Linked DNA regions of Rattus norvegicus. The protein of the gene in region 1 binds, or shares a complex with, the protein of each later gene. Links are inferred from orthologs where the notes say so. Each region holds a gene or a part of one and is shown on either strand. Other genes may lie near its edges.

What was found.
Region 2: Rrn3 (region 1) and Polr2f share a complex: the UniProt entries of both Homo sapiens proteins name them as parts of the pol I pre-initiation complex. The link is inferred for Rattus norvegicus from reciprocal best matches to the Homo sapiens genes RRN3 and POLR2F.
Region 3: Rrn3 (region 1) and Taf1c share a complex: the UniProt entries of both Homo sapiens proteins name them as parts of the pol I pre-initiation complex. The link is inferred for Rattus norvegicus from reciprocal best matches to the Homo sapiens genes RRN3 and TAF1C.
Region 4: Rrn3 (region 1) and Polr1b share a complex: the UniProt entries of both Homo sapiens proteins name them as parts of the pol I pre-initiation complex. The link is inferred for Rattus norvegicus from reciprocal best matches to the Homo sapiens genes RRN3 and POLR1B.
Region 5: Rrn3 (region 1) and Polr1c share a complex: the UniProt entries of both Homo sapiens proteins name them as parts of the pol I pre-initiation complex. The link is inferred for Rattus norvegicus from reciprocal best matches to the Homo sapiens genes RRN3 and POLR1C.
Region 6: Rrn3 (region 1) and Polr1h share a complex: the UniProt entries of both Homo sapiens proteins name them as parts of the pol I pre-initiation complex. The link is inferred for Rattus norvegicus from reciprocal best matches to the Homo sapiens genes RRN3 and POLR1H.

The regions. Positions count from the first base shown.
Region 1 is NC_086028.1:2,635,954-2,639,151, forward strand, and holds the end of Rrn3 (RNA polymerase I-specific transcription initiation factor RRN3), read right to left. Parts: intron 2,657-3,198; coding exon 2,474-2,656; 3' UTR 1,064-2,473; downstream 1-1,063. UniProt on the Homo sapiens protein: Required for efficient transcription initiation by RNA polymerase I (Pol I). Required for the formation of the competent pre-initiation complex (PIC).
Region 2 is NC_086025.1:112,591,203-112,596,280, reverse strand, and holds the start of Polr2f (DNA-directed RNA polymerases I, II, and III subunit RPABC2), read right to left. Parts: upstream 3,218-5,078; 5' UTR 3,173-3,217; coding exon 3,153-3,172; intron 533-3,152; coding exon 463-532; intron 1-462. Other genes in the region: C7h22orf23 (UPF0193 protein EVG1), read left to right, coding at 3,441-3,443, 3,605-3,716. UniProt on the Homo sapiens protein: DNA-dependent RNA polymerase catalyzes the transcription of DNA into RNA using the four ribonucleoside triphosphates as substrates.
Region 3 is NC_086037.1:64,560,257-64,565,085, reverse strand, and holds the end of Taf1c (TATA box-binding protein-associated factor, RNA polymerase I, subunit C), read left to right. Parts: exon of another isoform or gene 1-253; intron 254-339; coding exon 340-578; intron 579-686; coding exon 687-803; intron 804-913; coding exon 914-1,031; intron 1,032-1,117; coding exon 1,118-1,189; intron 1,190-1,340; coding exon 1,341-1,476; intron 1,477-1,566; coding exon 1,567-1,704; intron 1,705-2,122; coding exon 2,123-2,297; intron 2,298-2,392; coding exon 2,393-2,530; intron 2,531-2,609; coding exon 2,610-3,523; 3' UTR 3,524-4,007; downstream 4,008-4,829. Other genes in the region: Dnaaf1 (dynein axonemal assembly factor 1), read right to left, coding at 4,390-4,829. UniProt on the Homo sapiens protein: Component of the transcription factor SL1/TIF-IB complex, which is involved in the assembly of the PIC (pre-initiation complex) during RNA polymerase I-dependent transcription.
Region 4 is NC_086021.1:136,785,750-136,789,929, reverse strand, and holds the start of Polr1b (DNA-directed RNA polymerase I subunit RPA2), read right to left. Parts: upstream 2,801-4,180; 5' UTR 2,741-2,800; coding exon 2,564-2,740; intron 884-2,563; coding exon 716-883; intron 260-715; coding exon 113-259; intron 1-112. UniProt on the Homo sapiens protein: Catalytic core component of RNA polymerase I (Pol I), a DNA-dependent RNA polymerase which synthesizes ribosomal RNA precursors using the four ribonucleoside triphosphates as substrates.
Region 5 is NC_086027.1:22,231,487-22,236,405, reverse strand, and holds the start of Polr1c (DNA-directed RNA polymerases I and III subunit RPAC1), read right to left. Parts: upstream 3,089-4,919; 5' UTR 3,033-3,088; coding exon 2,964-3,032; intron 2,870-2,963; coding exon 2,798-2,869; intron 1,087-2,797; coding exon 979-1,086; intron 754-978; coding exon 621-753; intron 177-620; coding exon 57-176; intron 1-56. Other genes in the region: protein YIPF3, read left to right, coding at 3,334-3,414, 3,950-4,147, 4,288-4,394. UniProt on the Homo sapiens protein: DNA-dependent RNA polymerase catalyzes the transcription of DNA into RNA using the four ribonucleoside triphosphates as substrates.
Region 6 is NC_086038.1:1,598,242-1,603,291, reverse strand, and holds the start of Polr1h (DNA-directed RNA polymerase I subunit RPA12), read right to left. Parts: upstream 3,123-5,050; 5' UTR 3,022-3,122; exon of another isoform or gene 2,941-3,021; 5' UTR 2,929-2,940; coding exon 2,793-2,928; intron 2,564-2,792; coding exon 2,463-2,563; intron 2,299-2,462; coding exon 2,189-2,298; intron 1-2,188. UniProt on the Homo sapiens protein: Core component of RNA polymerase I (Pol I), a DNA-dependent RNA polymerase which synthesizes ribosomal RNA precursors using the four ribonucleoside triphosphates as substrates. Can mediate Pol I proofreading of the nascent RNA transcript.

The DNA.
Region 1 (3,198 bases):
GTTTCTTTAAAAAAAACAAAAACAAAAACCTATTGTTTCAGAAGTTTGATTCTGGAGAGGAGTCTCATTTTACAGTTGCCATGGGCTTCTTCCTCCTGGCTTGTACAGCCCGCTTCCTTATAGCACCCAGGACCATCTGCCCAGAGCGGTACTTCCCCTGGTTGGCTGGGCCCTTCCACATCAACCATTAGTCAGGAAAATGCTCTACAGACTTGCCCACAGGCCCATCTAACAGGTACAGACCTGTCTGATAAAGGGACTTTCTCAGTTGAGGTTCTTCTTCCCAGAAGATTTTACCTTGTATAAATTCTTGTCAATCCTAAGCTTGTGAAGAAAACAAACAACAAATGGGAGGTGGGGGTGGGCACATGCTTGGGAGGCAGAGGCAGGTGGATCTGAGTTTGAGGACTGGGCTACAGGACAGCAGAGGTATAGAGAAAAACCTTGTCTCAGAAAAGAGACACAGAGAGAGAACAAGCATTGGTAGAAACTTAGTAAACAGTGGAAGAATCCCAAGGACTGAGTGCTGCCTATAGCCTGTTTACTATACTAAAGCCAGACATGAAGGCATAAGGGAGCTGAGGAACCACACAATAAGTTCAGGACCCAGGCTGCAATAGCCTGAAATAAGATGCAGAGTCCTCCAGTCATGGACTAGCAGCACGCAGCTATAAACCACAGAGCGCTTGCAAACTTCTCCCCTCGAGATGGCAGAGACTTGTCTGGGTACATGTTATGTGTTAAGACCCTGGTTTCCATCCTCAGTACAAAAAAGAAAATTCTCTTTGTTTTCCAAGGAGACCTTACTAATTTCTTCCAAAAATGTTTTAGCTTTTAAAAACATCACAATATGTCTGATGTTAACTTAAAAATGTTCCTGCTTCAGCCTCCAAGTGCTGAAATTAGAGAAAGTGTATAACCATGGCTAGATAGGATGCAATTTCTCTCAAGCGTACAGATTTGTTTAAAGCACAGGAAACATCTTAACCAATGCCCATTTGTTGCTAACCATCTCACTCCCTTTAGGAGCAGGAGGGTAAGAACCAACACAGGAGTCATGGAGGCATGGCTGAGTCTTTTTATTAAAGCCTGCATTGGCTGTGAACAGGGAGGCCTCAGGTGAGCTAGGCTGTTCTTTCATTTTCACAATAGATTTTTCCCCTCAAACTCCTTTATACTCCAAGAGGCTTATTTGTCAACATACCTTCTACATTCTAGCTACTGTCCAAACCTGACATCCCGTCAGAATCTACAGATGCAATTTCATTGCATTTTCTGTCAGCAGTTAAGTAAGAACCTTGAACCAGGCAGTGGTGGTGCAAATTCCCTGCACTCCAGAGTTGGAGGCAACTAGATCTCTGAGTTCAAGGCCAGCCTGAGCTACATAGTGATTTCCAGGATAGCCAGGACTACACTGTAAAAGAAAGACATATAGAATCTTGAGGTTTCCTAGTGACTTGCCACCAAAGCTGGCCTGGGACTCAGGGATTTGCCTGCCTCTTATAAAAGCTTTTTAAAGCAATAAAGTTTTCCTGATTCAAAAAGGTATTCATAGGCAGACTAAAATCCAGGGCTCTGCATCAGTCTCATTACACAGGAGTATATAAACCTTGAGAAGAATTCCATTAAAAAATATTGTGACCAAGAAAATATCACTTCCCTTTAAATAAATATAAGTGGCAAAAAATTAAATATACTTAAAGGGATATTTTCACAAATACACAAGTTTACATGTAAGGATACAAGGGAAGGCAACTTCCACAGTCCTCAAACACACCTGCTACAGAGCAAGGCTGGCTGTTTAGTATAAGACAGCTCTTCTGGCTTGAGTCCATGTTGTGCAAACTGTGGAATGAATGTTGACAGACACCCAGGTCCGCTTCAGTCAGCCTGAACCATGGCTGCTGCAGCTGTGCTGACGTGGAATCCTGAATAAGTGCCTTTTTGTGATTCTCTGAATGCTCTCTGCCCACCTGGCTTCTCTGCAGTCCTTTGTGTCCCCTTGGTAAAGTTCAGCCCCACCTCTGGCTGGCCTCTCCCCATGCACCCTACAACACAAATAGACTTCTAGTCAAAAGGAAACCATCATGCCACTGTAAGCAGGACACAGTTAAAAGTATTCACAGGCAGTGCTGATCCTGGAGGATATGTCCCCAAAACAAGACCAACAAAGTCATGTGATTGTGGGTCTAACAAAAAGGAACCTGTCAGAAGGCCACCTGCCAGGTGAGGCTGATGTAGCATGGAGCCAGCAATTAGAAGGCTGTAGGCACAGATTGCTCTGTTCACTGTGAAATATTGCACATGACACTCAATCTTTCCTTATGTCCACAGGGAGCAAACTGCAAACACACACAACCTGGGGCCCTTCAGATGCTGGCTGAAGTCCAACATGGAGGCTGGACACGAGGCATAGACTAGTTCAATGCGGGATCAGTGGTGGGGCACAGTGCCCTGGGGAGAACAGCGTAGCTCAATCACAGATCCTTGAGAGGAGCGAAGATTGGTCTGGCATAAACAGCACAGGAGGGGAGCCCACACTACTGGAAGGACTTCGAAAGTGGGTGTCAAAGGAGTTCGGGGTAAGGCCAGCCACTGTGTCACTCTGGGGCACTTCGCCTTTCAAAAAGTCATCGTCTTCATCCTCCACTAGCTCCTGTAGAGAGAACAGATATGAGAATATCACAGTGTTGGTCTGAAAAGTTTTCATGGGATGGCAACCTGAGTTTGTACCAACATGTGAAAGGATGAACCAAACCCCCAAGATATAAGTCTGTGTACTCCTGAGGATCCCAAAACAAGAGCAGCCTCTACAGTAAGCATTTGCGGCATTTGTACTTGGTGGCTCACAGTGAAACTCTGCTAGGATCACTTTCTGTTTGTGGAGCCAGCAAAGTCCTACCCAACAAGAACTCAGATCTCAACCTGTGACCACTGGAGGTTGAACAGCCCTTTCCAGGGATCTTCCATAGGGTTTGTTTTTAGACCGGGTCTCACTCTGCAGCCCCAGCAAGCCTCCAGCACCTGTCTCCCTGTGCTGGGATTACACACAGCCACACAGCTGTTTTCAGCTGTTCTCCTTCTCAACTCCTTCCTTGAGTACCCCAAGACAGGGCCCCACTGTGCAGCAGACTGGCCTCAAAACTCCTGATCCTCCCAAGTGCTTAAGATGGCAGGCATGAGCCAGCACACCCAGCT
Region 2 (5,078 bases), on another chromosome or scaffold:
GTAAGTGTGCCTGCATACACAGACACATGGCACACATGCATGTGCATAAAGATACACATTAAAAAAAGTAACTATTTGTTGAGTGCTTACTGTATGCCAAACTGTACTGTAAGTGCTAGGATACAGTGGTGAATAAAACCAAAGTTACCTCTGCCTGGGCTGCCTTTAATCCTACCACTCGGGTGGCAGAGGATGGCTGGTTTCTCGTGACCTACAAGTCAGCCTGGCTTAAATAGTAAACTCCAGGCTATCTACTGAGAACAAGTCCCAAAAACCAACAACAACAAATCATACATAATAAGACACAATAATCCCGAGACCTAGTTGAGGTGACACTCAGAAGGCCCAGAGCGGATCTGTGGAAGCTCACTCCTGGGAAAAGGGCAGCGAGAGCTCTTGGTGAGCACTGCTCATCCCTCGGTGTCCCCGGCTGCAGGGCCAAGGCTGGGGCTCGCTACTGACCTCCTCAGCATTTTCCAAGTCGTCAAGCCCTTCGTCCTCCTCCACGTCATCAAAGTCATCGCCATCGAAACTGCCAGAAGAAACCAGTGGTTAGGGCATCACTGGCCAGAAGCAGAGACACAGCCTACTGTCTCAGCTATGATGGACAGACGGACGTGGAACTGACAAATCCCCAACAAGGGAACCAAACTTTGGTGGGTCACTTTATGTCTCCAATTTTGTCCCATATGTCCCTACATTTTGCTAGGACTCGTTTGTTGTGGTTTCCCTCTTTGTGAACTATTCTAGTCAGCATGTAAATGGATACTTTTCTGGTCTGGAGACTGTTCAATGTTTATCTTGTGTAAGTTTGAGTGTACACACACACAAGTGCCTGTGGAAGCCGGAAAAGGGTGAGATTCCCTGAAGCTGGAGTTGTTCTACCTGGTGCTGGGAATGAAGGTTTTGCTCCCTGGAAAATTGGCAAGTGTTGACAACCTCTAAGCCATCCCTCTCGTCAGCCTATCGTAAGAAGAGAAATAGAAATCTGATGGTGTGGTGGCACACTCCAGTATGCCTAGCACTTGGAAAGTGGAAGTAAGAGAACTAGGAGTTTGAACTCCACCTGGGCTACATAGTAAGATTCTGTCTCAAGAGCAAAGGCAAATGAAGTTTACTCCAGGACTGGAGTTACTTTTGTAACTCAAAAGTAGAGTGTATATACAGCATGCATGAAATCCCCAGCCTTCTCAGGACCAACACACTACCAGCATCACCGGCCTCTTTTAAAAACAAATAAACCGGGGCTGGGGATTTAGCTCAGTGGTAGAGCGCTTACCTAGGAAGCGCAAGGCCCTGGGTTCGGTCCCCAGCTCCGAAAAAAAGAACCAAAAAAAAAAAAAACAAAAAAAAAAAAACAAAAAAAAAAAAAAAACAAATAAACCAACAAAAAAACCAACCAACTAACCAGCCAACCAATCATTATTCTCTTTCTCCTCCTGCTACAGTCTAATTCCATATTCCCTTATGGTGGAGAAAACAAACAAAACAAACAAACGTAAGGCCAAGACAACACTGCCATTTTCATGGCCTCCAGTTACCGGGTCCACATACACCACCAGGACAACCTTTCCTGTTCTCTCCTTCTACTTGTGCAGCAAAAACACCTTTACCACTGAGCCATTCCATCAGCCTCCTGTAGCACAAAATGTATGAGGAAGCTGCCAAACCCACTGTTGCCAATTCTTCTCTTCCCTGTCATATTCTCGCCTCAGTAAGACTTTCAACACACCCTCAAGCTCCAAAGCCACCCTTTGTGTGCTCACCGATTAACCCAGCCCTCCCAAAGTGTCTCTCTGTGCTGCCTGGCTGTCCTGGAATTCACTCCATAACCAGGCTGGCCTTGAACTCAGAGATCCCTCTGCCCCTGTCTGCCCTGAGTGCTGGGACCAAACACTTGCACCACTCCCAGCTTCACTAACGATCATTACAGTGCTGAACCCTTGCCACAGACATTCATCCGACAGCCAGCACACCGGGCTCCTTCCTCCTGCTTCCCACTCTGGGGAAGGGGCTCCTTTTCTGGGTTCTCTTCCCTCAGTCACTAACTAGCCATCTCTTCTCTGGTGGCACTCTGCCCTGGTCAGCACTGCCATCTCTGCTTTCATTGCATTTTTGCCTGTGTTTTGTCTGCTTGTGTTGAAGTCAGTTTTCCTGAATACTATGTAACTCTGGCTGGCCTGAGACTCACTATTTAGCACAGATTGACATCTAGTTCATGGCAATTCTCCTGCCTTAGCCTCTCCCAAGTGCTAGGATTATACCTGTGAGCCACCACACCCAGCCTCTGAGTTCTGACTGATACATCTATACTACTGATATAGCTGGACTACCATAGTTTATCTTTTGACCTAACACATACAGCCAGCCCATCAGGGAATCCCTTAGGTTCTATCTTTAAAATATATCAGGAGCCAGGCATGGTGGCACACGCCTGTAATCCAGTGCTCAGGAGGTAAAGGCAGGCAGATCTCTGTAAGTTTGAGGACAGCCTAATCTACACACTGACTTTCAGAACAGCTAGGACTATGTAGAGAGACTCTGTCTCAAAAAAGAACAAAAATACCCATCACTTGGAAGGCAGAGGTAGATGGATCTCTAAGTTCGAACCACCTGATATATGGTTATATTTGTTCTCCAAATAAATAAAATAAAAATATGTCTATAATCCAGCTGGGTCTGGTAGCACATACCAGACATACCAACACTTGGGAAGCTGAAGCAAAAGACTGTAGCAAATTCAAAGCTAGTCTTAGCTACATCATGAATCCCCGGCCAGCCTGGGTTTCAGAGTGAGACTTTGTCTCAAACAACACTAAACTTCAAGCTCTCCAGAGTCCACTCCCACTTCTGGCCACCTTTGCTACTATCTCACCTAGTCCAAGTCCGCGTCTGCTCCCAGCCTTCCAGGCCATTCTCTGGGTTGCTCTTTCCTCCCTACTTCCACGACTACGCAAGCTACACCACTGGCATTCACTTCCAGAAAGGGAGCGCTCGGTGGGCAGGGGCTACACGGACGAAATCTCTGCCCACTGTCCCCACTGCTCCGCGAGGTAATAAGTTCTGAAGACTTCGCCCCACCGACCCACTAGCCTGTACTCCAGGAGCCCGGCTTGCACCACAACCTCCGTCCCTCCGTGGCCCGCGCTCACTTGTCTTCGTTGTCTGACATGATACCTTCTCCTTACTGGCCGGTCCGGGTCGCAGAGCAGAGAAACGCGCGCTTCAGCCCCTTGCGGCAACACGTGTGGTTTGCGCTTGCGCCGTGACCTAGGCGCAATCACTTCCGGGAGGCAGTCGATCGCGAGCGCTAATGCGCGTGCGTGGGGGCGTGTCTGCTAGTTACCATGGTAATAAGGAGTGCTTGGTGAGGACGCTCACACTCTGGCTCCCCGGAGGATTTCCGTGAGGAAGGCTCTGTCACGCCCGGGTCATCGCTGATGGTGAGCGCTCCGCCCTAGACCGTCAGGATAAGGACTGTGGTCACCGCGCTGTCCGGAGCCGAGGGGTCGAGCACCAGCTTCTCAGTCTCCTAGGTTGCTAGCGATGAGAGGTCTGTCTGCGACGCGGGAAGAGGGCTGGTCATTCCTTCTCTCCCTCCTAGAACCCTCCCATGGCTTCACAGGAGAGGGTGGACGCAGTGGCAAACGGAACCGGGTTCCACCGCTGCCGTAAGCAAGCCGCTTACACGCCGGGGACCTGTGAGCTTCTCAGAGGTTAGTGCATTAGCGGACCAAAGACTTGAGCGGTGCGGTTTTCCCTTAAGAGCTTGGGATTCAGAAGGGTTCTGGGGAGAATCAAAGGCCAGAGATGGAGAATTTTGGAATGGTTAGCTCATCTTTTACGTGCACTTTCAATGAAGCCTATCTCCTTCCCACCACAGTAGGACCTTCACAGTACCACATTCAACTCCCTTCACCGGGTTTAGCATAATATATAGTCTTACAGGTGTTTAGTGTCCCAGCTATCATCTTCTAAATGGTGAATGCCACCAGGCAAAGAACGAGCCAGCTTCCGCACACAATTGTAGCTCCAGACTCTGCTATGTGAATGAACCTGCATGCATTTAATTATTCAACGACTAAAAACCCAATATATGATTTGGATATTGTCCTAGGTATTCGGAATAGAGTGTTGAGAGGATTGCGAAAGCCAATTCTTGCTCTTATAGAGCTAATAGTACAGGAGGGTAACAAGAAAAATTAACAATAGAAAATTATAGAGCTGGGGTGTCACTCAGTGATAGAGTATATTCTAGGCAGATGTGAAGTCTGGATTTCAGTCCCAGCACACCACACGCCAAAATAAGTGTGTGTGTTACAGTTGGAGAGATGGCTCAGTGGTTAAGAGCATTTACTACTCTTTGAAAGTTCAGTCCCCAGCACCCATGTTAGCCAGTCACCAAAAAAGTGTGTGTTTGTCTTAGGCAGATATAAAGCTATGCAAGCTTACTACTTGGGAGGATCGCCTGAGCCCAAGAAAAGCGAGTCTGTATAATATAGTAAGAACCTATCCTTAATATAAGGGTTGGAGAGATGGCTCAGAGATTAAGAGCACTGACTGCTAGTCTCAAGGACCCAAGTTCAATTCCCTACAACCATGTCAGGTGGGCCAAAACAGTCTATAACTCTAGCTTCCTATGATTCAGTGCCTTTTTTCTGGCCTTCACAGACACCCATACACACATACATTCACACACGCGCTCTCTCTCTGTCTCTCTCTCTCTCTCACTCTCTCTCTCTCTCTTTTTCTTTTTTCTTTTTTTTCGGAGCTGGGGACCGAACCCAGGGCCTTCCTCTTGCTAGGCAAGTGCTCTACCACTGAGCTAAATCCCCAACCCCTCTCTCTCTCTCTCTTAAGGGAAGAAAAGCTGCTCATGTCGTTGATTCTGAGAAAGAGGTGGGTGGACGTGTGTGTGAGGCTGCCCAATGTATATACCAAGTTATGACCATAGTGAGACTATGTCTATAAATAAACCAATAAATAAAAAGGTAGAAAACAAATGAATAAATACAAGAAAAGGAAAAAACCAGAAGTGGCATGCACTCTGGAGAAGATGAAGTAGGCAGAGGAGTGGG
Region 3 (4,829 bases), on another chromosome or scaffold:
TTCCCAGTTCCAAGCAGCTTAAGGGAAAAGGGGGGTCGGTGAACCTGAGGCACGGCTACATCCAGGTGTTTAGAATCTCGTCTCACCCACTTACCTCTGTCTGACTTAACTCAAGCAACAATACGATGGCTTCTTATTCCAAAGGAAGAGTCAGTGTCTGAACTACTGCAAATCCTACAAAAGACCTCAGTTGCCCTGACTGGGGACATCTGTGAGCCACTTGCTAGGAGGCACAGAAATATTCAGGGACAGGGTACGGTGTATTCTAGGCAGCTAAGAGAGAGGTTCTCTGCATGTCCTTCACTGTCCCAGTGCTATCCTCTGCTGCTCTGTCCCTAGGTGTCCCTGGGCTTCCCTCAGCCGCCGGCTACGTCGATTCTCTATCCTGGGGGGTCCCGTCCTAAGCAGGTCCGTGTCATTGCTCATGGGGAGGTTGCTGCATGAAGAGCTGGCCACGAGGTGGGAGCAGTTGCTGATGGATGAGGCCTTCACCGGGGGTGCTTTGGCCTGGCTGCCTGGAAGGACAGCACGGGCCGGGCAGCTGGTCTACCCTAGTGGAGGTGCCTTGGACAAGCTGTGTATCCTTTCTCCTTTGGGGTTGTGGGGGGGTGTCCACACAGTGGGCCAGGGGAAGAGTGAGCTGGGCCACTGGGGTCCACTCTAATAATCCTTAACCAGGCACTCAGATTTCCAGGAGGTCAGTGTGAATTCAGGTGGCAACCCTCGGGTCCTTGAGGACCCTGGGCACATCCAGCTGCGGGGACCTGTACGGCAGGTGGTGACTAGCACTGTCCAGGGAGAAAGTAAGATGTCTTCCCTCCCTCCCTCCCGCCTCCCTCCCTCTTCCTTGTCCAACTAGCTACCATCACCCTCTACACACACACTGCAATCCCGACCTCCCTGTCCTCCCCAGCGCTTCTGGCCGTCCGCTCTGACTACCACTGTGCTGTGTGGAAGATTGATAAGCAGGAGCCACCAGCACCCCTGCAGGTGCTACAGGTGGAGAAGGGAGCCACTGGTATTAGCCTCAGGTAAAAGATGTGGGCTTCCCGGCATGGACAGGGTCTGGGAGAAGGGCTGAGTTGCTGGATGATAACACAGCACCTGTGCCCTGTAGCCCTCACCTGTCAGGAGAGCTGGCCATCTGCAGCCGTTCTGGAACTGTGTGTCTGTGGACCCCACAAGATGGGTAACTCCCCTCTCCCCCAAAACCTTCCACTCCAAAGCAGACCATGGCCTTCCATTCCATGGCCCTAGTCTTCCTTCTAGCCCAGCCCCTCAACACCTTTGTTCCCCAACCCCCACCAGGCCCACACTCATGGCCTGCCTTCCTCCTCAAGACTGCAGACAATCTACAAGGACCCTGAGACGCTTGCCTTCCGTGATCCGTCTCCCTGGCGCTGGGCAGACTTTACTGCCCATCCCCGGGTGCTGACTGTGGGGGACCGCACGGGTGTGAAAATGGTTGATATTCAGGTATTGGTTGAGGGGGGTGAGGAGAAGCATTAAGCAGGAGACTCATCTCCAGCCCTAAGACACAGGCTAAGTGTGCTGTACTTTGTCTAGGGCCCGCCGGGCTGTGGGCTGCTGCTGTTCTGTGCTGGAGCAGAAGCTGCCTGCCAGAAAGGAGAACGGGTGTTGCTTGCCCAGTACCTCGGGCAGCCGGGTCCTGCCTCTACGTCTCTACATCTCATCTGCACCCAGGTGAGCGGCAGCCTTCTCGGCCTCTGCCTCTGACTTCACCAGCACTGCTGCCAGTAGGCCTGATGCACAGCCACAGGAACCAAGGAATGATGGGTCCCCGTGCATGTGACCTCACTAGAGGCAGGCGGACTGGGTCATCTGCAAACCTAGATCTCAGGACCTGGGAGGAAGCAGAGGTTGATTCTGGCTCAGGGCTCCAGTTGGCCCAAGTGCCTACTGTTGGGAGTGCAGGGATGGATGTCAGGGACTTCTGGGAACCCTGCTGCTGCCCAGAAAATACGTTTTAGGTTGGGTCGGCCGCATTGAGGGGGACTTGAAGGCCAATGGAAGTGCCGTCCTCCTGCAGGCTGTGTGGCCTGCCAAGGGTTGTTGGAAGGCTGGTACGAATCCACCATGCTCACTCTCCCTTCTTCCTCAGTTCTCGATCTACCTGATGGATGAGCGCCTCCCCCTGGTGCCAATGCTTAAGTGGGACCATGGCCTGCCATCTGCACCCCTGCTTGCCCGCCTGCTACCCCCAGCTAGTCCTGGCTATCCCCGGCCCCTGCTACTGGGGGGCCAGGGTGGACAGGTTCAGCTGCTTCACATAGCAGGTCAGCCTGGCAGGTGGGGGGTAGGGTGGGGTGGGAGCTTATGGAGACATGCTAGTGCTGGCACTGGTATGCCTAGCTCTCTGTCCTTTCTCCAGGAGAGGGGACTTCCATTCCCCAGCTGGCAGGACCTCCTCAGTCTCTGCCCTCCATCACCGACTCCCTCTCTGCCTTTCCCCTGCTGGAACCCAAGAGGCAGCAGCAGCTGCAGGAACGTCTGGAGGCGCCGGTCATAGGTGCGGCAGGCAGAGGCCTTGTGGGGCTGCTGTGGGGGGGTACTGCCAGGCTCTACAGCTCTTTTCCTTCCCTGTCCAGGTCTGGCCGCTGCCCCGCCCTGTGCCTCTGCGCCAGGCCTGTTGCTCTTCCAGCTCTCAGCAGCTGGGGACGTCTTCTACCAGCACCTGCGCATCCAGCAAACCTCCAGCCTCAGAGAGCCTGATCACCCAGCACCAGAACGGCCTGCATCCAGGGCGGCAGCACCTCCAGTGGACCAGGGATCCACACCCTCTTGGACCTCTCGGGCCAGTGCCCGTTGCAGCCGCTGGTTGGAGGCGCTGATGGAGTTGTCCCCCACTAATCCAGTGTGGGCTGCCCCCACCTTCTCCCACCGCCGTTTTCTGGGCCACATGGAGCGGCAGAAGAGCCAGGAGACCCTGGCACAGAAGCTCCAAGCAGCCATGGCCAAGGGGCAGCTCCTGCGGCCTGGGGACCTCGGTACACTCCCCAAGGCAGAGCCACCCCCTGCACCGCAGTGTAGCCAGCAGGATGAGCTCACTGAGCGCTTAACCAAAGCCTGGGAAGGCCAGGCAGCTGCCTGGTGGAAAAGACATCAAGATCAGACCTCCGGGTCCCAGAGACAATCCAAGCGGCCCAAGCGCCGGACTCAGCTCTCTAGCACCTTCTCCTCGTTCACAAGCTACATGGACTCCCCAGATGCCAGCAGTGCCCCTCACAGCCAAGACCTCTCTAACTCTGAGGCCTGCCCTCAGCCACCCAGGACTCCACCCTCCCAGGAGTTAACGCAGGAGCTGTGGGCCCAAGGTGTGCAGCATGAACGTCGCCAGACCCTCCGGGACTACATGGCCAAGCTGCCACTTCAGGACAATCCAGGACCTGTGGCTACACCGCCCTCCCAGACCTCTAGCCGCCAGACCAGGTCTTTCAGGCAGCAAACACCTGTCCTCTCTGGCTCCCATCCTCCCCGGAAGAAGCCACGAATGGGCTTCTGAGTTGGGGAAGCATGTCTGAGAACCTAGCCTTCATCCTGGAGCACTGAGCTTACCTATTCCAGGGCAGAGCCTCTACCTCCCAGTGTGCCCGTGGGAACTTGAGCAGTTTGGAGCCAGGCTGAAGCAATGGGGAACAAATCTGTTTTGTATATTTGGTGGTAGGTTATTCCTGAGAGCTGGCTGCAGAGAGAGCCAGGAGACCATGCACAGGAACTCTGTGTAGCCATGGCCAAGGGCCAGCCAGCTCTTCTAGCCTGGGGATCTGCATATACTCTCCAGGGTAGAGCTACCCCTGCACCTCAGTGCAGCAGGGTTGCTAGAAAGGAGGCCATTGTGTCAGCGTTAGCCTCCTGTCCTTGAAGGTACCTCAGCCCAAGTGCCTCCTGACATGGCTGTTGTGGGTCATTTGTGCGACAGTCCACATAGGTTCAATAGGGGTTGACGCTTTGACTCTGGGACTGAATAAACTTGTCCACTGCCTTGAGCCGGATGGTCCTGTGGTCAGAGCAGATGGTGTCTGATGTGTAAAGCCCACTTGCTCTACCTTGGGGACACACACACTGAATACAGTGGGGTGGGGTTTCTGACGTCATCAGAAGAGAGCCTGACTGGCAGCCCAGTAACATGCTGACCATGCGGGTCTTAAGTGTTTATGTTCTCGTGGGATCTGTAACCAGGGGAAACCGATGTGTTGGGTACACGGCAGGCACACTGGTGTAGCTGCACAGCACCTGCCATGCAGGGTGCCGGAGCAAACCAGCAGGGATACATAGAAGAGGGTGCCCTGCATCCGCTGCACCACTGCTAGACTAACAGTGTAGACTGCCTTGGGGTTCAGTCCAAGCCAAATTCAATATCTTCCAGGCCTATCCGGGTGCTGGGCTCCTCTGGGTACAACGAAGACTGTGCTTCATTCTCAGCTCCATCTCCTGAGGAGTAAGGAGAGAACAAATCAGTACTTGGTAAAGCTGCCCTTCTTGCTGAGCGCCGGTCCAGGCCAGCACAGACTCCTTATGTGCACTTAAGACCCACACAGTCAGCATGTTTACTGGGCTGTAGTCATGTGCTCTGATGAGATCAGAAACCCTACCCCACTGTATTGTGTGTGTGTGTATGGATTGTGTGCACGTCCCCTTGTGCAAGGGGAGCACTGGGAACATAAGCCAAAAGCAGGTACCTAAAATGCACACCCAACCCTTGTGTTTTGTGCTAACTGCCCAGACAGCCTGTGCCTGAACACAGCAGTGAGGTTGTGGATGGTCTGTGGTCCAACCCCTACAGAGCCTCCACAGAGCGTTACCTAGTG
Region 4 (4,180 bases), on another chromosome or scaffold:
CTGTGGTAAGAGTCAGGCACAGCACAGACCCGTATCAGTGGTCCAGCTTCCTGTTCCTCACCTCCAACCCCAGCCTCTGCTGCTGCCCTGCAGCCTAGATCCCTGCACTCACCTCTGCCTCCTCGTGGTGCTCAATGAGGACTTGAGGAGGAAGGTTGTATAAGTTGCAAAGCTTGGACTTCACCATGATGGGAACATAGCCAAGAAATTGTTTAATGATGCCTTTGGGGACTCCATTCACGGCCCAGCTGATATCAGCCTGTAGGCAAGTAAAAGAAAAAAAAAATGAAATTATCTTGAGATGACAGAATAAATATTTAAATAAAAATTTAGATGTATTTGTTTTTATTTTGCATATGAATGTTTTGCCTGCATGTACGTCTGTGTACCAGATGTGTGTCTGGTGCCAGTGGAGGCCAGAAGAGGGGCTTAGACCTGCTGGAACTGGAGTTCCTGGCAGCTGTGAGCCTCCATGGTGCCGGGAACCAAACCCTGGTCCTCTAGAAGAAAAGGCAGTGCTCCTAACCACTGAGACATCTCATATATTAAAAGGAGGTACTGACTTCATGTTTCAGATGACACTCGATCCCTTTAGAGGAAGACACGATCATTTCAGTGGCAACGCTAAGGAAGCAGGCCTTTCCTATAACCTTATTAGGCCCCAGCCCTAGTCTCAAGTGTGCAGGGACGGCTGCCTGCCACCACTGATGCTCACCGTCAGCTTCCCTCGGTACGTGCTCCTCCGGCCACGGCACTCAGCTGGATAAATGTTGAGCTCTTTGCAGATGGTCCCTTTGGGCACTGCGGGTGGACTGATGGCAGCGTCCACAATAGTAAGAGATATGCGCTCATCTTTGAAAGCAAATTCGAAGGGAGGTATGGCCTGAAAGACAATTCACCCTGCTAAGTCACTTACATTTTTTAACACACTCTTCACTAAGAGTCTCTGAAATCACCATGGTCTACACTCACTGACATCTACCACGCAGCAAATCTAAAAGGGACTAAAGCTATACCTAACTGGTTACTTCGCCAACTCTTTAATTATAATGTGTTTACCAAGGGCTTTTTTAATGGTGCGCTGTGTATCTGATTCTGCAGTAGGTGCTACAGACACAGAAAACGCTAAGCCAAGAGTCCACCTTCTCTGCGCATAGGAAGACAAGGAGAACTGCTTTTTTTACCGGCAAGTACATGATGATCTAAATGTTCAGCTCTGTATATTTTATTCCCTCAGACTGAAGCCTGGCAATTCAAAGAATTGTAAATGGCTTCTGTATTTCCAAGTATCAGTCAGACAGTCAAAGCTCTCCCACATCTCTCCATCCCTAATTCTCACAATACAGTTGTTTGACAACAAAACCTCAGGGTACCGTCTACTACATATGTCCCTCCCCGAACCTACTCCCTCCAGAGGGAACGCACCATCTTCTTCTCTTAACCTTATCTAATGTAGACCTTTCTAAACACCTGGAATAGTTGCACTTCCATGGTGCTCCTGACTAAAAAAGCTCTACATCTTAGAGCAGTTCTCAAGAGAATGCCATTGACTGCTTGTAGGTGCCTGCTACCCCTACACAACCAACAAGGGTGAGGTACACTTAAACCTGAGAGGTGTCTTACTCTCAGAGCGTAGTGCCAGGACTACAGATGCTAACAAAAAGAGACCTTGCCTTATCGTCCTTTCCTGAACTCTGCTACCATGGTTACAATGATCCCCTGGGCTTTTTTTTTTTTTTTTTAATCTTCCTCAACAGGCCCAACTCAGAAGAGGTGGCAAGTTTTTCTCTTGCAAATTCTTTTTTTTTTTAAAGATTTATTTATTATATATAAGTACACTGTAGCTGTCTTCAGACACCCTAGAAGAGGGCATCAGATCTCATACAGATGGTTGTGAGCCACCATGTGGTTGCTGGGATTTGAACTCAGGACTTCTGGAAGAGCAATCAGTGCTCTTAACCACTGAGCCATCTCTCCAGCCCTCTTGCAAATTCTTAAAAGAAGCTGGGTGGTGGTACACACCTTTAATCCCAGTACTTGAAGGCAGAGGCAGGCAGATGTCTGTGAGTCCGAGGCCAGCCTTGGTCTACGGAGTTCCTGGACAGCAAACGCTACCGAAACCCTGTCTCGAACCGTTCCCGCTCTCCTGGCCCCCAAAGGAAACTCTAAGGGAAGCAAACTGAAGGATGTGCTCTGCTGCAGCCTGTCTGAATCAGCTTGGAACCTTCTGAGGTAGTTTTAGAACGTAAGACTCCAGGTGTGAAAAGGCGTGAGCGCTGTCAATGGGCGGAAAACAGTCTCAAATAGATCACGTCCTCACTCTCCTTTCACAGTACCCAAAACCAGGGCTCGTACCCACATATAAATCCAGAAATCACAAATACATGTTTCCCTCCATCACTAGGCTATAAGTTGTTTTCTCTCTGAACTATCCCAAAGAACTGTAGGGTGAGCTTGCATCACTATTTGAGGTCATACTGTGGCCTCCCGGCCACCTCCTCCAACCTCAGGGACCCTCCGGCCGAGGGTTCGGGCTCCGGAGCAGAGAGTGCGCTCCACTCACCTGCACCGCGTGGCTCAGCCCCTCCAGCACTGCGTAGTTGAAGGAGTCCACGTGCGCCCGCGTCAGGTCCTGCAACGCCGCCTTTTGCTGCTCCGGAGGAACCGCGTACGAGGGGTCGGTTAAATGCTTTAGGCTGGGCCCGCTGGGCAGGTTCCGCCACCGGCTGTCGACATCCATGCTTCTGCGAGCCCCGGACGGGAAACCGGAGCTACGACTCCACTCGTGGACCGCAGGAATGGCCGGAGCAACCCTACAGCCACCCTACCCCGTGGCCTGCTGGGAAATGTAGTTCCTCTTGTTCTGCCCGCCCCACCTTTGGTCCTTCCATTTCTCACGGTCGACTGGAAACTTAAACCATGGCGTGGTTGGACCTGTTAAAACTACACACAAGACACCTTTAATTCCAGCAATCGGGAGGCAGGGGAATCTCTGTGGATTCGAGACCAGTTTGGTCTAAAAAGCGAGTGCTAGGACATCTTAGGGCAATAACACAGAGGTGTCTTGAAACACCGAGAGAGGGAGGGAGGGAGGGAGAGAGGGGGAGGGAGGGAGGGAGAGAGGGGGAAGGGAGGGAGGGAGAGAGAGAACACTACATAGACAGGCAGATCTGCCTCTTCCTCTAAACTTCGATGTTTTGTATCCTACAAACCGTACTAAATCCCTTTCCACTTTAGTGTGTGACCTCTGTGACCCATATTAGCTTAATTAGTCAATTAGGACCCGATAGAAGTATCTTTAACGGTTCCCTTCTGTCCCTTTTCACAGCTTGCCTCTTACATCCTGATGCAGACTTTAGGAGACTCTGAAGTCTTGGCTTCTACTGAAATGCAGATTTGGGGCACCAACCTGTCCTCTCTACTCAACTCTTGGTTTATTATAATAATAATTATTTATTTATTGTTGTTTCTTTGTTTTTTGAGTCAGGGTCTCTCTATGTACTCCTGGCTGTCCTAGAACTTGCTTTGTAGACCAGGCTGGCCTGGCACTCCATCTGTCTCTGCCTGAGTGCTGGGTTAAAAGCATGTGCCACCACCCATGGCTCTGTCTCTTTCTCAACTCTTTTTATTTTTTTAGTTTAGTTTTTTCGCATACATTGCATTCTGGCCTCAGTTTCCCCTCCATTCCCTCCTCCCAATCTTCCCCCCTACCACCGTTCTCCTCTAAATCCACTCCTCCTCCATTTCCCTTCAGAAAAGAGCAGGCCTTCCAGTTATATCAACTGAAAATGGCATAACAAGTTACAATAAGCCTAGACACAAACCCTCATATCAAGTCTGGACAAAGCAAATCAGTAGAAGAAAAGTATCCCAAGAGCAGGCAAGAGAGTCAGAGACGGCCCCTGCTCCCACTGTCAGAAGTCCCCCAAGAATACCAAGCTATACATCAATACATGCAGAGGACCTAGCTCAGACCCATACAGGCTCCATGATTGTCGATGCAGTCTCTGTGAACCTCGACGAGCCCTGGTTATTTGATTCTGTGGGCTGTGCACTTATGGTCTACTCTACTCAACTCTGAATGTTGATCACTAGGACAGCCAGCAGTAATCAGGCCATGCTACCCAAAAGAAAAGAAGCAACCCCAGCCTGCTTCTGGATAGAAATCAAGGGGGTTGGA
Region 5 (4,919 bases), on another chromosome or scaffold:
ACCCCAGATCCTACAATTGCCCACCCAGGCTGGTGGGCCCTCTCAGCACCGCTCACCTTTGTGGTTCACATAGAGTTCATTGGGGTCGGAAGAATCCTTAGCAGCACTGGGGTTCCTGGTACACCTGACCTGCAGCCGAAACTGTAGTGTATCTATCTCTGTTCCCTCCTCCTCTCCTGTACAGGGAGAAGCAGCAGGGTTGGTTTGGCTCTGAGATAGGGTTTCACAAGCCCTGTCTATCCTGGAATTTGCTGTGTAGACCAGGCTGGCCTTAAACTTCTGCCAGTCTTGGGAGTAAAGATGTACACCACCATGCCTGCCTGGCCCTACTAGCTCTAGTAACGGGCTGACAAGAAGCCTCAGAGGGTGCATGCTTGCTTAAACCTACAGACCCAACTTCAATCCCTAGAAACCATGTAAAGGTGGAAAGAGCCTCTGAGCGCTGCTGGCACTGTGCTAAGAGTGAGGGATTAAAGGCAGGGGCAAGAGAACGTTCTCACAGGCGAAGGCCCATGTACAAGAGCCAACTAAGATCACAGTTAATTAGGCCTGGGATCTGAGCCCATGACAGATTCCAGGACAGTTCTGCCTAACTCATAATCTCAACCTCTCAGCCTTACCTGGGTTCCGATATTCAAAGAGACGTGGATCAGCAAGAATGGGGATAAGCCCCAGGCGGTGAGCAAGGATCTCATCCTGGACGATGGATGTGTTGTTATACACCAAAACCTTTTCCACAGCCATTGTTGGCACCTGCCCAAGGAAGCAAAATGATCTACCTGACCTCCACCCATCCCCTACCTGGAAAAACGAGGGGCAGCCCTTCTTAGTTTTGCCCTTCAGATTTGATACAAGGTTTACTGTGTAGTTCGGACTGCCCTCTGAAGTGTTCATATTATAGGTGTAAACCGCCCCACCCGCCCGGTAGTCTACAGATGGGGTGACAGTTTCCACACTCCAGCCCGCGACTTCTAATACCTCAGCTAACAGAATCCTCCGGAAGGCATTGGCAATGGCAGCATCAATCCCCACCATGTCGAACTCCAGTGTGCTCTCGTCCATATGCACCACGTCCACACGGAAGTTCTAGAGGGGTAGAGAAAGCCCAGTGGGTGGGAAACCTGTTCCTCTTGTGTGAACCCAGTCTACCCTGGCACTATCCCCCAAGATCATCAGTAGACATTTTGTCTCTAGTCCCACTGGGAGGGCAGTGTACTGTTCCTTGTTTATGTTTTTCAAGACAGGGTTTTTCTGTAGCCCTGGCTGTCCTAGAACTCACTCTGTAGACTAGGCTGGCCTCAAACTCAAAGATCCACCTGCCTCTGCTTCTTTTTTTCTTTCTTCTTTTTTCTTTTTTTTCGGAGCTGGGGACCGAACCCAGGGCCTTGCGCTTGCTAGGCAAGTGCTCTACCACTGAGCTAAATCCCCAACCCCCTGCCTCTGCTTCTTGAGTGCTGGGATTAAAGGTGTGTGCCACTATGCCTGGCTTCTCAGATAGTCCACAGACCACCCAGCAAAGCTACTGTACAAAAAGCAGAACTTCCCACCTATTTAAACCATTTGATACTTGCATTTTTTAATATCTACTTTTCCTTATCTAAATTTTCTCTTCCACCCAGTAAACGTTACTTTCTCCCAGGTTCTAAATCCCCTGGGTGACCTTCATGCTGCTGACTCAAGCAAGGGCATAGCAGCTCCTGACCTTGGTCTGACTTCAAGCATCACCACTCGACCGGTAGACTTCGCAAACAACTGTGCCATCGCCCTGGTCCTCCCGCTTAGCAAATGACACAGCCAGCAACACAGTTCCCCAGTGTGGCTGGAGAAACCACTCGGCAGTTAAGAGCACTTACTGCTCTTGCAGAAGAATGGATTTGGTTCCCAGCACCCAGTGGGACCTCCTCACACTGCTGGGAGCAGTGGTGCACAAATACACATGCAGGCAAACATACATACCAAGAAAAGGTTATCCGTTCCTCAAGCCACAAGGTCCTTTCTCACACTGCCCTCACCACAGCAATGGTCTGCATCAGCTAGTTACTACTCTCACTCCATTACCACCATCTGCAGTTCATCCATGCCCCCAATTTCAGCCTCCATACACTAGCTGGCAGATTCGCCAGATTCATTCCTTCCCAGCTATCAAGACTGCAAAATTTTATCAGTCTACTGAAAAATTCTAACGGGGCATGGTGGCTCATGCCTTTAATCCTGTGCACGGGAGGCAGAGGCAGGTGGACCAATCTGAGTTTGAGTCCGGCCTGGTCTACAGAGGGGGTGCCAGGGCAGCCATGGAACCCTGTTTCAAAAAGACATAAAAATAAAAATCTATCACCTACAGAGTCTAAAATGCATTCCAATCTTATCTACTGCTCATGCTGGTGGACTTACATTCTGACAAAAATGAGCTGCTGCAGCTGACTAAGAGCAAACCTTATACAAGCGTTTATAATGAAACTCGAATTAGGCCTTCACCGCTCAACTTTTATTCATAGTTCAAAGCTTAATTCAAATGTCACTCCCTAACTACGTCCCTTCAATTGGCTGGATTAAGTGCATCAATGATTCCTACCCCATCCCAGCCATCTTCATCGCTATTTTATTATACTGAAATAACTTGTTTGTGGCCCATTACCCCACCGAGAGCAAACAATTTATTCCACAAACAGGAGCGGTGTCTGACGGCCCGTCCATGGATCGGGAAACATGTTTTCATGTTTCATGAAAACAGAGATCCCCAACCCAACCTGTGAGGTCTGGCCCCTCAAACCGTCTGGACACTTCCAGCCCTACCCACCTTCTCGAACCGGTCCTGGTCCCAGGCATCATCATAACCGGAGTAGTTACCGGGAAAGTCAGTGGTGTGGACCTAGAGCCAACAGAAAGGGCAGTGAGGCCAGGCCATACACCAGGCCTCCTCTCTCCCGTGCCTCCCCCATCACTCCCGCGGTCCGATCTCTTACATTGCGAACCCCAAACTCTCCCAGAACCACGCGAGTCCGCATTTCCTCCACCGCCTGAGCAGCCGCCATCTTCCACCATCAGCCGTGAGAGGAGGCTCCAAGTTAGCGCGTGCGTGCTAGCGGCCCGCCTCCGTCTCCGCGGCAACGTTCCGTCTCCGGCAATCTTCACTGTCGCGATATCTTGTCCCGCCTCTGTCCACGTCCTTCACTTCCGGACGTCAATTGGGGCCAAACATCCGGGTTTCTCACTTTTGCGTTCCGGCTGGTCCTACCTCGCCTAGTCGCTCCTCTGAACCTTTCCTTCCCTCGGGCCCAGGTCTCACACTATTCCCACGAGCGCTAGCTTCAGCGACGGGAAGCCTCGAGGGACATGGCGACTCAGGCGGCGCCGGCCAGCGGCGTCCGAAATGGTGCTGGCCCGGAATGGGGAGGCTTCGAAGAAAACATCCAGGTATTGAGAGCTCTTGCTGCCAGCAACTCCCCGGGCTGGCGGCCGAGTGTGGTTGCTATTTTTTCTCGCGGCGTGGAAGTCGGCTCTATTGCCACACTGCCTGTCCTCTTTCAGTCTTCCACGCGAAAGTGTGTAGAGCTTGTGCTGGCGTGAAAGGGCTAGATTAAGGTTCGAGTCTCTGTACCTGCCCGGGGCTTTGCAGACGGGTTGGGGGATCTGCCTGGATCAGGCATAGTATGGGACTACAGGATAGAATTTCGGCACTTCCTAAAATAGGCTTGTTTGAGAGTTGGGAAAGGCAGATGGGCTTCTTTGCAACTCTTTGGAGCTTTGGGAGGGGCGGGGGGGGGAGGGCGAACTACAAGTGTCGCCACCAAGAGTTGCCAGCAGTGAAAGGTTATGTATAACACAGTGGGTAGCAGTTCCAAGCCATATCCTCGTCAGTGGAAGAGCAAAGCCTCAAACTGTCAGATGAGGGGAGAACCAAAGGATGCAACGGAAGGGCCCCTCACACTAGGAGCCATTGTCTTCACAGGGTGGGGGCTCGGCTGTGATTGATATGGAGAACATGGACGATACCTCAGGCTCCAGCTTCGAGGACATGGGTGAACTACATCAGCGCCTGCGTGAGGAAGAGGTAGATGCTGATGCAGCTGCTGCAGAAGAAGAGGACGGGGAGTTTCTCGGCATGAAAGGCTTTAAGGGACAACTGAGCCGGCAGGTAGCAGATCAGGTAAGCCAATGGAAAGGAAGACCTGTGTGTGTCCTAGGTTGATACACTTTTTCCACTTAGACCTACATACACAGAAATCAAGCGGAGGCCGGGTAACCGTCTAGAGCCAGGAGTTTTTCATAATACCCATCTCCTTTCAGATGTGGCAGGCAGGGAAGAGACAAGCTTCAAAGGCCTTCAGTTTGTATGCCAATATCGACATCCTGAGACCCTACTTTGATGTGGAGCCTGCCCAGGTCCGAAGCAGGTGAGGAGCCTTCTCTGAAACATCTGTCCTCACATCTAGACCCTCGTCCAGACTTCAGTCAGATACAGAGCCCTGAGCTCTGGTGGGCTCCCATATTTGTAACCCCATCACTCTGGTCACTGAACTTGTTGCTGAATACATGGTGAAAAGTACAATTGGCTAGGTCCTCCATCAAGTGCGCTAACCCCCGCCCCCGTCGTTCCCCCACCCCCACCTGCACCTCCCTCAAATGTGCTGACCCCCCCCTTCCCTCTACACCTCCATCAAGTGTGCTGACCCCTCCCCCGTTCCCTCTGCACCTCCCTCAAGTGTGCTGACCCCTGCCCCTTCTGCACCTCCCTCAAGTGTGCTGACCCCTCCCCCTTTCCTTCTGCACCTCCCTCAGGTGCACTGCCCTCTGCACCTAGTCTAAGCAGCACTCACTTTGTTCTCATTCCTTCCTAGTCCGTCCTCACCTGGACTCCTAGACAGCTCTCTCCTCGGGTGGCTCCTCAGAGTGCAGTGCGTTCTTACTCCTGAGCCAGT
Region 6 (5,050 bases), on another chromosome or scaffold:
GGCTCACTGGTTAAGAGCTCCTGTTGCTCTTGCAGAGAACCCAGGTTTGATCCTTAGCACCCACCTGGTGGCTCATCTAACCATCTTTAACTTCAGTCCCAGAGAGTCTGACATCTTTTTCTGACCTCTCTGGGTACCGGACATGCAAACAGTGCACTTACACACATGCAAGCAAGACACACACACATAAAAGTGTTAAGTGAAATGATTGAAAATTTAAAATGACTCACAAGCTAACTGGATGGTTCGTGACATTTGAAAAAAGTAGTAATGAAGGGGAGGGCAGAGGAGACGGCTCAGCTGGGAAAGGGTCTGTTGCACAGACATGAAAACTTGAATTTGGATTCCTGGGATCCATTTAAAAGTAAAGAAAATTCTGGGTGTGGTAGTCCACATGTACAGAATGGGCTCTACTAGATCTGGGAAACATGGGACAGTGGGAAAATGAATGTCCAAAACGCACTGACTGGGTAACCGGCCTAGTCTGAGCTCCAGGATCAGAGATTCTGCCTCGTAAGATAATGTGGAGAACTGGAAGTGGCGGCATACATTAATTCCAACGCTCTGGAGACAGAGGCTGATTGGTATCTGGAAGTTTGAAGCCAGTCTGGTCTCCAAAGATTTCTAGGCTAGCCAAGAATATAATGAAACCCTGTCTCAAAACACACACACACACAGAGAGAGAGAGAGAGAGAGAGAGAGAGAGAGAGAGAGAGAGAGAGAGAGAAATACCCAGTGTCTAACACTGGCTACCAAATATACACATGCACAAATACATGCATACATCCACATGAACACATAAATACACTACACCTACAACATTCTCCCCACCACAAACATACAAACTGAAGAGAAAAATCTGACATCTTTTTCTGACCTCTCTGTAAGAAAGATCTGGAGAAATTACCCAGAAGACTCTATAAACAGAAATGGGATGGAAAATACAAAGATGAGAGATGTGAAAGTCTAATAAGAAATTTGAGGACATGGGGGACAAGCAATACTGGAATGGGATAATGGCTGATATATTTCCAGACTGACAAAAGGTAAGTCAAGTCTCAGCTTGGGAAACCTAAGGGACTGGTATGTGGTTGAGCTGGTAAGAGTGCTTATATAGTTCTCCCAAAGCTCAGAGTTGGATCCTCAGAACAGTTATGGTGGCACCGACCCGCCTGTAATCCTTGAATCTCAGAGGTAGAAGCAGCATAAGAAGATTAAGAAGAAGAAAAACATTAATTACAATTCTAAAGAGAACAAATACAAGAGAGCTCGGGGCACCACTGAGTGCAGAGCACTTCTTTCACATGCCTGAGGCCGAGAATTAAAGCGGTACCCCCAGGAGAAAGGAAAACAACAAAAAGCAAAAGCACAGAAAGCCACACAATTATGTAGAACTACACAACAACCAAGACAAGACTGCTCCAAACCATCCAGACCACGTCCTTTGAATCATGCAAGATTATGTCAAGTCACTCCTTCACAGTGTAAAATTTCAGCATGTTGTCCAACTGTGCAGAACAATGCCTACTTCCTGTGCTTTAAATTTTCCTAGAAGCTTTGGTTTTCATTTTGCTTTGGTGACAGCCTGTGTAGCTCAGGCTGGCCTTGAAACCACGATCCTCCTTTTGAGGCACACATTACCACACATAGCTCTCTTTTCATACATCTTAATAGGTTTAGAAAACTAGCTGTAAAAACAGTAAGGGGGTGGGTGTTGGGGGGGCTGTGAGATAGCTCAACGCTTAGGAGGATCTGCAGAGGATCCAAGTTCAGTTCTCAGCACCCACATCCAAAGGCTCAGAGCTACCTGTAATTCCAGCTCCAGGGACCCAAGGTCTCTGGCCTTGGTGGGTACCTGCACGTTCAAATATGCAGATATAAACACCTACACATAACTTTAAAAGATAAACAGTCTTTTTAACAAGCCAGCTGCAGTGGCACATGCTTGAATCTCAGCACTCAGGAAACAGAGGCAGGAAACTTGAGGTTAACCTAGGCTGTATGGTTGAGAGTTCAAAGCCAGCCTGGGTGAGCTCTAAGTCTTGAAAAACGCCAAGTAAATAATAAAAATAAAAAGGGGCTACAAACCCTCCTCTAATGAACCGGACCAAATGAAATAATATGAGTCTGTCATTAATGTTGTTTTGCAAGCACTGAAAAGGGGCAATGGGAGGGGTAATCGTCTCACTTGCAGTTGATACAGGTATAGAAGACAGTCTGTCCTTCATCAGCTGAGCGCATCTGTCTGGTGTAGTATGCCATTCCCTCGTGACCACATCGGGAGCAGCGCCTGTCAACCTAGGAAGGAACAGAAGGGTTATGGAGTTCTAATCATAGTCTCTGCTTCCACATAGAAATCAGACTATTGCACTCCTTGGACATTCTCACGGAATGGAGTGCAAAACCAGGTCTCCCAATTCCCCTTTCCATTGTTCTTTTGGAGCTAGTCCTTATCAACTTACTACTGGTCCCTGGGATTCAGGTCCCTCATCCACAGACATAGGTATGACAGTCCCCAGTTTGTTGAACACTACTGAGGTCTTCACAACCTTCCCTCCAAAATCTGCACAGGAAGTAAAAATAAACAAACCAATAAAAAATAACAGTAGAAATAGCAAAAGAGGCAACGAATCCCAGCAACACTCTCCCAGGTGAGTCACGACCTCCCTTTGAGTTTCTTCCCTTGGTCAATGTCTCCCTAACAGATTCCTGTTCTGAGTCTCACCTCCCTAAGCCCAACCAGTGCTGAGGTCACCTCCATCGTGGACGTAGCTAGCATACCAGCCCCTCACCTCGCACATCGATGGAGAAGCCACAACGAGGGCAGATGACAGTATCCTGAACTCCAGGCAGCGGCAGGACGGAGCCACAATCTGGGCAGAAATCCAAGTCTGATTGAAAGTTGGAGCAGGGGCGGGCCAGCTCCATGGCGGATGAGAGCTGGGAAAGAGGAGTTTATTATTGAGGCGCAGGAGTCTGGCCTTGAAGGTGGTTCCTCACCGCTTCCCTAGCGGGAATTACCTGAGTCCTCCTCCCACAGGATCCTCTGACCGCAGAGTTTGGAGTGCTAGGAGCCTGGAGCCTCAGCTGCTGGGGAGCCTTGTGCGGCAGGAGGTAGGCGGAAGGGAGATAGAGTACAGATCCCAGCCGCGGGCTAGAGCGTCCGATCCCAAGGCGCCAGGCAGCGAGTGCGCCCGGCGGGCTAGAGCGTCTTCCGGGTCCTGGTGGCCGTTGGGTCGTGACGTCATAATTAATGGCGCAGGTACTCGAGGCCGCTTAAGGGAAGGAGCCGAACCTCTGGCGGAAGGGAATATACGGCGGCACGCAGTCTGGGACTATGACGTCGACCAAGTTAAGGCGAGTAGCTAGTGCTAGGCCACTCGCTATTTTCCTGCTCCGCACTAATCCTGGACTATTTGCTTTTGCAGGGAATCCTACACGTAGCAGGGGAAGGGGGCGGGAGCGTCCCCCTAAAACTGTACTGATTTTTCCAGAGCAACTGATACCTCTTGGATTGAGAGAACCGCAACTTTTGCTGGTTCCCGAGACCGTTTTGTTTTCCTTTTGCAGCCGCTCAGTAGTCAAAAGCAAAGCTAAGAAGCATTCTTTTGGGCCCTCCTGGCCGTTCGTCTCTCGGCTACACCGGCTTCCTCGCGTCAGCTTTGGGCAGTTCTGAGCACTTGAGTGAGTCAGCTTCGTAAGGAGTGTGGAATGGTGAGGGTGAGAGGGAGTTTAGGGATTTGAAGATGGTGCAACTGGTGTGACTAGGGCTCTTCTCTCCCTAGGCACTTGCCAGATGAGGGAGAGGGAGGTTAGTTATTAAAGCACTTCTTTGGATTTACTAGGAGATTGGTCTTGGCTTTCACTTGCAGACCATCTTCCACTCTCCTAAGCTCCCATTCACCCGTGTTTAAATACCTGCCATCCAGTAAGTGAACAATAGAGTAAATGTAAAGTCGTGTCGTTTCATTCACCAGAAGCGTACAAAGTAAGGAAAACGTATACTGAAGAAGGACCAGCTTGAAGACAGCGTCCCCAGCCCTCCAGCAGCCAACCTGATTACCATGCTAAGTCACATAACTACTTTCTAAAGGACATAAACTACTCTTTCATAGAAGAGACCCTCATCTGTCTTTCTGTGCACTTATTGTGAGATTAAACCCTGGAGAAGTAGTTAAAACCCCTGAGCAAGATGCCGGAGGACAGACCCTGTCGTTTTACTTAGGGGTGAAACTGGCAAAGCTCTGTTGCCGAGACTGTGATGGTTGAACTCTAAATTTTACCTGTGTCTTCTTTCAAAGTAGAAATTAGCCCCACTTTCCCTTTAAAGTTGGACATTCTTCAGACATCCACCGTGGTTTGACCGCTGCCTTTACTGCACAAGCAGTATAAGGCATGACGTTCCTTTCCCATTAAAAGCTCTGTCTGTCCAATACATATTTAGCACCTGTGTAAGGGTTAGAGCTGAGACCAGACTGTGTAGTTGAAATCTGTGTTCTCTCTTTAATACAGATGAAAAGTTAGAATATGGAGAAAATACACTAGTCGGTGCTTGAACCAGAGATACAAAGTCTACAGTATATAGCTCTAGATTTCATGGAAGACTGGCACACGCTTTAATAAAAGATACAGCATGTCTGTGTGGTCGTGCATCCCTTTATCTTAGTACTAGGGGAGCTGAGGCAGGAGGGTTGTGAGTTTAAAGCCATCTTGGGCTACAGAGCAAGGTCCAAGCCAGCCTCAACATGTAACAAACTTCTGTTATGGTTCATGTGTGTGGGGGTGCTCATGCGTGTGCATGCATGCCTGCTGGGATGGACCCCAGGGCCTCAGTAGGTAAGCCTTTTACGACTGAATTAAATCCCCAACCCTGAGATAGTTGTGAGGGAAAGATTAGCTACTGTGTGATAATGATTAGAATTTTGAGACTTATGATCATAGTACCATATTGGATGCCCTGTGCAAGAAATGAAAGTATCTGGCTGTAGAAATGGCTCGGTAGTTAAGAGCTCTGGATGCTCTCAGAGGACCCCGGTTCATTTTCCATCAT